Linked DNA regions of Schizosaccharomyces pombe. The gene in region 2 interacts genetically with the main gene of each other region. Each region holds a gene or a part of one and is shown on either strand. Other genes may lie near its edges.

Region 1 (4,557 bases), 3.6 Mb from region 2:
ATTTGGAATTATTTGCGGGTTTTCCGGATAAAGCAACAGAAGATGACAAATTTACAACCTCTTTTTTACTGACTACCGACTTTGATGCATTATCCCGAGGAGAAGCCGGTATTATGACAGTAGGTACCAGGTTTTGATTTCGTTTCGCCAATAACTCATTTTCTTTGTATGAACCTTTTTTTAAGAGAATGTTCCAAGATAATAATGAATCTTTTTTCGGTTTAGAGTGAATATGCTCAAGGTCACTTCTTTCTTGGTTATTAAAATTTTCAATGTTCCGAGGTTTCAAAGCACAAGGCCGTTCATCTAAAGAAGCCCAAATTTCAATATCTTTATTAATATATCTACGGTTCTTTCCATAAGTTTTAACTTTTGAACGACTTTCCATATCTTTTCCTACATTTGTAAATATTGAGGTAGTAAGGTACGGAGGTGAGATGGAGAAGGCATGATGTCCGGGCTTAGTGATATGTTTAAAAAAGCATTCTGGACAAAATAAAAAATGCACAAAAAAACTTAATTACATTTTTCTTTAATTGCTTCTGTTAATTTAGCCAGCTTATCCTCCAATTGGGCAATTTTCCAGTCTCGGATTGCGAGTTCTTCCTCATATCGTTTCTCAAAACCTTCGAAACGTTTATTGAGATCGGCCAGATTGACTGCTGAAATATCTTTCTTATCTTTTGAAACATAAAAGGGTTCTTTCTCTTCAACTTTCTTACTTTCGGCAAGAGGAGCAGCTTTGGGTGCTTCGTCAGAAACTTCCAATTTCTTTTCCTCTGATGGTTCTTTCTTTACATCTTCTGAAAAGGTAACAGGGCTACTAGCTGGTTTCGGAAAAGATTTTTCAACAGGTGTTTTCTCACGCTTGGGCTGGGTTACAGTTTCTTCTTTCTGATGATTATCCTCATCACGTTTCTTCGATGGTTCTTCTACTTTTGATGCCGAAGGAGTAGTTGGTTTCACCTCCGGCTCTTTGGAAGGCTTTTGTTCTTCCGCCGATTCTTTCGGCTTGCTAACTGGCTGAGCTTCGGGCTTTGGTGTCTCAACCTTCTCTTCGTTATGTTTTTGTACCTGAGCACCAGCTGAGGGTACTGTAGCGGAAACAGCCTTTTCAACAGTACCTTTAGACTCATACAAAGTAGACATATCTAAAAGATCAGGCTGAGCATCTTTCCCACTGGCCCATTCTTCAGCTGTTAAGCTTGGTTTACCAGATGGGGCTGGAGGGTAAATATCGCTTTGGAAACTTTCAGATCGGCGAGGAACGATGAAACTTATAGGTTCAATGATAGAATCGTTCACGGACTTATAAGCACGCATAACTTCGTTTTCAGAAACATTAACTCCGCGTTTTGGCAAAAAGGCAATGCCTCGTTGGGGATCAACGGACTTGAATTCAGATAAATAATGGAAAACATCGTTTTCATATTCGTAATAGCGAATATTACCATCACCTTTACCTGCTAGATATATTACCTTTGTTCCATCATCCCAGAATGGCATAAGGATTCCCGAACCGGTGTCTAATGTGGTAAAACCACCTATCGGTTCAGACAGATTGGTAGGGTCCCATAAAGCGATTTGACGATCACTCATTTTACTGAAACCAGTTGTAGCAAAACGATCAAGGCTCCCGAGCCAAACGACACGGGGATTTTTAGCACCTGCATGACCATTTCCAACGGAGACTGGTTTATCAGTACGAGGGTCCCAGACGCGAACTTTCTTATCTCGAGAAGTTGTTACAAGTCTGGTACCATCAGCGTTGAACGACATAGACTGGCACATTACATCCATTTTCAGAGATACATGGGCTACACCCTTCTCACAATCCCACAACTTGATAGTATTGTCTGCACTAGAAGATGCCAAAACATTCGCTGCAGTGGGATGATATTGAACAAGACCAACTTTACTATACAAAAAAGTCAGTAACTAAAACCCTAATGCAATGTACGACATACCGGCTATGGCCCTTTAATTCAGCAATTGGATGAACATCTTCATAAGGCTCCATAACAGTATAATCTTCTGGTACTTTCCATATCATAATCTAATTCGTTAATACATAAATAAAGTCAAATAGCAGGATACCTTAGAATCATCACCGCCGGATGCTAATACTTGATCATGGAAGGGATTCCAATCAGTATCTAAAACAGCCGCAGTATGGCCCCGAAACAAATTAACTTGATCGGGAAGCTTTCCTCTTTCGTTTAAAGGGATAACTGCCAATGCACCTCCAGCTCCCGCATTCCAATTAACACTGAGGTAAAAGGGGTTCACACTCAATAGGTTAGAATCCCATGCATTATTGCTAAGCTATTGAAGACAATTAGTAAATTTCAAACCATTAAAGTATCGACCAACCTTTATGTTGTCGTAGCAAAGTTCTTTTTTGCAGGTTTGTCCAAAGATATGTCCTAACGTCAGTTAATAATTATTTACTCAAAAAGCATGCGTACTATATTTACTAGCTCTCACAAATCTTCCACTCATTTTTGAAAAAGAATAATTCCTTTATAAGATCGAATGAGAATTTGCTAATTGAGCTAACTTTATCCGGGGTGTCAGGTAATGAACAAAGTCGGGATCGGAATAGGAAGGAGGACGGATGAGAATGACAAGCACCTAAAGTTGTACTGGTCGTTGAAAATAACCAATATTATTGATAGTAGATATTAAAATATTTAAATTTTGGAAAAAGCAGTTCATTATGAGGAATTGTTTGAATTTTTATAAGGTGCCTTTATAGATTTTATTAAACTAGATATCACACTAAATTTGCAAAATATATACAAAATTTATATTATTAAAATGATCACTGTTTCAAATGTCTTTAATCATTTCAAGCGAAAGCTTTCAAAAGCAAATTATATAAAAAGTAATTGCGTCCAATAGTGTAATTTAGTCGATTCTCATAACTTTTTATGCTAATATGCCTTCAATATTCTCAAAGTATTTCAGATCTCTAAAAGTGTTTTCATTTAGGAAGAAGATTGAGCAAGTTTTTGGCGTTTTCGAGGCGAATCTTCCTTAAGCTTGGGTAGCTTTTTGACAATCTGTTTATACTCATCAAACTGATTTTCATAGGCGTTATGAATTTTTTCAATACGTTCGGACTTATCCAACTGTAGCAACACATCAAGATTTTGACGAAAAATCCTTTCCTTTATTCCTAGTCTAACAGATTTCCGCTCCAATAATGAAAGCTTTTTTAGTTTCGTTGTAAATGCTAATTCACAACAGCGTGAGAATTGACGCTAAAAAAAGACAATTAGTAAGTTGCATTGCATGGTAAATTTAGCAAATTACGAACCTGGGTTAACTTTGTTTCAGCTATTTTCGAGTTTATCCACTGCCTAGAAAGAGAGGGATGAAAGTCAGGTTCTGAAAATATTCCCATTGATAATAATCTTTTATAGTCGCAATGGTCTCTAAGGCTATCAAACGCTTCCGATGCATCCTCAACTGTGAAGTCTAAAATTTTAGGATTTTTCAAAAAGGTACTAACAATAGCATTGTACAATTGCGAACCGTGTCCTTGATGTTGAAAAGGGGGTAAAATCACGAATTGTGAGATACGAGCTCGAATACCATCGTGAATTAATTTGTCCCATTTATAATATTTGTATACAGTACAATAACCACGTAAGCAATAATCATCTTCAGTAGTCTCGTAACTTATTTTTGTTAATAAAACCTCGATAAAAAGGTAAAAGGAAAGTAGACGCGTAGAAAATAACAAACTTACAGTAAATATACCATCCATCTTGGATCATTAAGGTCAATAAAAGAGCCCCCTTCAATAAAAAATAAGGAAAATATTTGCAAATGCTGCATAATCTCACTAGCTTCAAGAACCGTTGCCTATTAATACATTACGATTATTAGCCAAAGAACATATAGGGATATTCAATAATTGAATACTTCTCCAATTGAAAGGTAATCGAACATACTTGTAAAATCTTGAATGTTTTTCCATTAAAGGAATAGTTATGAATACTATTTGCCGAATGAACGTCAAATGAGTTTCCTTCAACCTTAATGGAACGATCTTTTAGATAAGTGTTTAATGTTCCTTCAATATCAGTTGGTTCCACTCCTGAATCTGGTGCTAGGCGCTCTGAATATGAGATTTCCAGTTTTGGGACCATCAATGGGCATTCATAGGTTATCTAATAACTGTTACTATTTGCAATCAAATTTCATGACTAAAACTTGCTGATTTAATCTTACAGTGACATTTAGATCTTTATATCCATAAATAACCTCAGCATCTCCAAATATTGCATATGTATTGCTAGGATGGTATTGACAATCTTTTTCATGCTTTTCGTTTACTGACAGGTGTTAACACAAGGTAAAAACATTATAATTTAACATAGCATACCTTGTACAATTTCTATGCATTCATTGGCATTATGTACCCATTCATCAACAGCACTCATCACTGCATACGGAAAATTGAATACCTGACCCTATTTCAAGTCAAACAACAAAAAATACATGTGTCTAGTTGGAAGTAACAAACTACAAGGCGACGCAAAATTT
Region 2 (3,590 bases):
TCTAACATTGACTACAAGTTGCAGACAGATTAAACGATCTTCTGTTGTAAGCCTTTGTAATTCAGTTTTTGATGGAAAAAAGCTAACAATTGCTAAATGTCTACTCACTTCCTCTTCTATAAAGGACGACACTAAATTACAACTCCAAATTTCCAGACAACCATTTAGTAAAGCTGAATTGAAAAAAAAAACTATAACCATAAATCCTGATCGTTATGTTTTATGGGATCACAGGTTTTGGATAAAGTACAGTTGCAAAAATACACAGACTACACTTATACTTAGACCGTTGCTTTCCAAAGATCTAAATTCATTGAAGGGATTTTTGAGTAAGGAAGAGTTTCTTAAATTTTGTATACAAGTTCCGGGCCATATCAGGTTTACTATTCCAGTCTTGTCGGAAGAAAACGATAAGTTAGTTGGAATACCTACTTTTGGGTTTAATTTTAGAAGTGATATTATCTCAAACTGTCTACACAAGTTCAAGCTTTAATTGCTGCTTGAACCATGAAATCAATGTTAATTAGAGATACAAGATTTGTGATTTAATAATGCCTCATTATTTATTTATATTATCACAAAGTCAGAGGTGAAAGTCAGATGCTCAGAGCATATTCTGGTGATAAATAGCACGACTGATGCTTACACACAAAAAGTAATACGCCCTTAAATTACTGGTGACGAGCGGTAAAAAAATGATGAAGAACTTGTATTATTGATCGTAAAAAAATAATTTCCTAAAACTTATAAGAGTTTAAGAAAAGAGCGTGTGAGTTGCTCTTGTAAAGTTTTAGAAAGTAAACGACTAGTAATTATTAGTCGTATATCGAGCGACAATGTATATGTATTTAGGAAGAAGGAAAAGGAAACAGCTTGAATCACCGTCTTAAAAAATATCGTCGCAAAAAAATTTCCAAAATTTATAAACACATATAAGTGTTTCAAGTATTTCTCATACGGATGCCACTAACGTTTTCCCAATTAATTTTCTGGCGAGTGACTGGAAGTTGACGACGCAATTCTTTAAACTTTTTGTCATTAAGTGAAGAAAGTTCAACGTTGAAGGACTGTTGAATTCCATTTTCGACTTGAGCCAACACTTCATAAAGCTTACTGGTCTCCTCGACTGTAGCAGAAATAGGACGGGATGCATCCAACCAAACATTTCCGTCTTCATAGTAATGAACACGAATATGCGACCTGCCTTCCAGTTTCTTTTCCGAAACGTTGTAATTGCATATACAGCGCCACGAACCGTTCCAATAGTTCTTGGGATTATACTTTGAAGAAACCAAAACAATTGTAAACGATTCCACTTCATCGCTTTTTTTGATGATTCCAAATGTTACATCAGATAGATAGTGATCCGAAGCAACCTTTTTAATTTGCTTTACTATTTCATCGGGAATTTTTATGGCTTCGGTATAATCTTCAACGTTTTCAGCTTCCTATGAATACTGTTAGCTATTTAACAATTATCACAAAAAAAAGATTTGAAAAATTTAACCTTACCATAGTTTCATAATTAATGGTAAATGATTTCTGTAAAACTTGATCATAATAGCGATTGCCCTCTAGACGATTATCAGCTGAAATAATTACTTTTTCGTCATCCGATATGCTGACAGAAGAGTTGTAGTCTTCATGATAAAGCTTCAGTTGTTCGTGAATTGCTTCCTCATCACTTAGACCGATGTCGCGTATATCTATTATATGCATTAGAATGTTGAGGTATTCAGCACTTTAACAAACCATGAACTACTTGATTAACTTCTCCTGGAGGAGATTCTCTAATGAGTTTGTAAATTGCCTCCTTTTCCATCTTTCGAAATTTCTATAATGTGGTGCGGACAATGGTGAATGGTAAGAAACGAATACGGATGGTGAAGACAATGCCGCAAAACTATCACCAAAGAGTTGTATAGTCTACCAAATCTTCCAAAAAAAGGAGCTATAACCTAATTTTTTTTTCTTTTTATTCATATATAAGTAAATATAGCCTCGGAGGTCGTCTGGTTAATCGCTTAGTTGTTCATTTGAAAATATCAACAATGTTAAGGAAGACAAACTTATCTAATATCACGACGCTTCTAAGAAGTGCAAGATGTATGAATAGAATGCCTCAACTTCGCTTCGAGCATACCAAAGGTGATTTAAAAAGGGTGAATCGCTCTTACGAGACTAGAGACGCAATGTTGGCAAGACTTAAATATCAATCTAGAAAACGGGGAATATTGGAAACGGATTTGCTTTTATCTAATTTCGCCAAAGATCAGATTGATAAATATCCAGTATCTCTTCTGCGAGAGTATGATCAATTATTAGATGAGCCCGATTGGGATATGTAAGTAAATGAACTTGATATACTTAATGTGCGCTATTTTAACGTCCAATTTTTAGTCTATACTGGTGTTCAGGAGAAAGGGAAGCACCTGAAAAGTGGAAATCGAGTCAAGTCTTCAAGGAATTGAGCAAATACTGTCGAAGTCAGAGGAATCATACACTTCGAATGCCAGAACTATTTTGAAAACGTTTCTTGTTTCTCTAAACTAATGTTTATTTTTGACGTTGACTTTTCAATAAAATATTAAAAAAAAATTCGTGTAATGATTAAAATTTAACAGTATATATAGATTTTTTTCCCTTCAATCTTACTTCTAAGAAACTTAGTCCAAAAATAATGTCTTTTATTCTACGATAGTCAGATGTAGTCCTAATTCTTAGTCAATAGGTAACACAATCTCTACTTTTTCAAAGCTTCAATTTCTTCAATTTCTTTTGGAGCAGCACTAGTTAATACGAACGGCTTGTCATCACCAACGATTACGCTATCTTCAATTCGAATAGCTATTCCTTGAGCCCATTGAGGCCATCCGTCTTCTTCTGGAACATATAGTCCGGGTTCTATGGTAATCTAAACCCCGTTTAGCAAATAATCTGAAAAGAACTTCAACTTACAACTTGGTTTTTGCGCAACGGTTGGTAACCATTATTCGTAGAACAATCGTGAATCTCTAGTCCAATCTCATGCCCAATTGAATGCGGATACAATATATCTGTAATCTCCTATAGCCAAGGAAGTTAGTACGAATATTTTGCGAAGTAGCAAACTTACCCGTTTAGTTCCATGAATGCCGACCTGCTTCAATTCTTCATGCATTAATTTAACACTTTCAAAGTGAATATCAGCCAAGCTCCAGCCATTACTGGTGCAACAATACTTAATACATTTCTTTTGCACATTCAGAACTGCTTGATATAAATCCCTTTGTACAGTACTAAATTTGCCGTTGATGGGCCAAGTCCTCGAGATATCTGTTACATAACCACCGAATTCCTGTTAAGCAAGTGTTAATTGACAAAAAATTGAAGGCACTTACACCGCCAGCGTCTACCAAAACCATTTCGTCAGGACGGAATATATCATTATTAATTGTGTAATGGATAGTCAAGCCATTCTTCTTTGTTAATAAAGCTTAAAGTAATAGCATTCAGCATTTTCAGGAATTGATTACTTACTTTTCCACCTGCTACTACAGGCACATATGCGGATCTATCACAGCCTCCAATACAAAACCGATAATTGAATT

Evidence for each region.
Region 1: mutations in acp1 (region 2) and crn1 impair growth when combined (synthetic growth defect), as found in Schizosaccharomyces pombe (2 studies listed by BioGRID, with this or other methods).

Annotation. Positions count from the first base shown.
Region 1 is NC_003424.3:1,030,127-1,034,683, reverse strand, and holds crn1 (coronin Crn1), read right to left. Parts: upstream 2,580-4,557; 5' UTR 2,503-2,579; coding exon 2,469-2,502; exon of another isoform or gene 2,427-2,468; coding exon 2,374-2,426; exon of another isoform or gene 2,326-2,373; coding exon 2,098-2,325; exon of another isoform or gene 2,057-2,097; coding exon 1,968-2,056; exon of another isoform or gene 1,919-1,967; coding exon 517-1,918; downstream 1-516. Other genes in the region: haspin-like kinase Hrk1, read right to left, coding at 1-388; histone acetyltransferase Hat1, read right to left, coding at 2,991-3,266, 3,323-3,686, 3,758-3,873, 3,963-4,181, 4,243-4,346, 4,397-4,454.
Region 2 is NC_003424.3:4,583,487-4,587,076, reverse strand, and holds acp1 (F-actin-capping protein alpha subunit), read right to left. Parts: upstream 1,863-3,590; 5' UTR 1,823-1,862; coding exon 1,753-1,822; intron 1,707-1,752; coding exon 1,513-1,706; intron 1,449-1,512; coding exon 942-1,448; 3' UTR 541-941; downstream 1-540. Other genes in the region: til1 (tRNA(Ile)-lysidine synthetase family protein), read left to right, coding at 1-493; succinate dehydrogenase subunit Emi5, read left to right, coding at 2,052-2,344, 2,401-2,527; peptidase Icp55, read right to left, coding at 2,744-2,914, 2,959-3,066, 3,116-3,337, 3,381-3,458, 3,520-3,590. UniProt on the Schizosaccharomyces pombe protein: F-actin-capping proteins bind in a Ca(2+)-independent manner to the fast growing ends of actin filaments (barbed end) thereby blocking the exchange of subunits at these ends.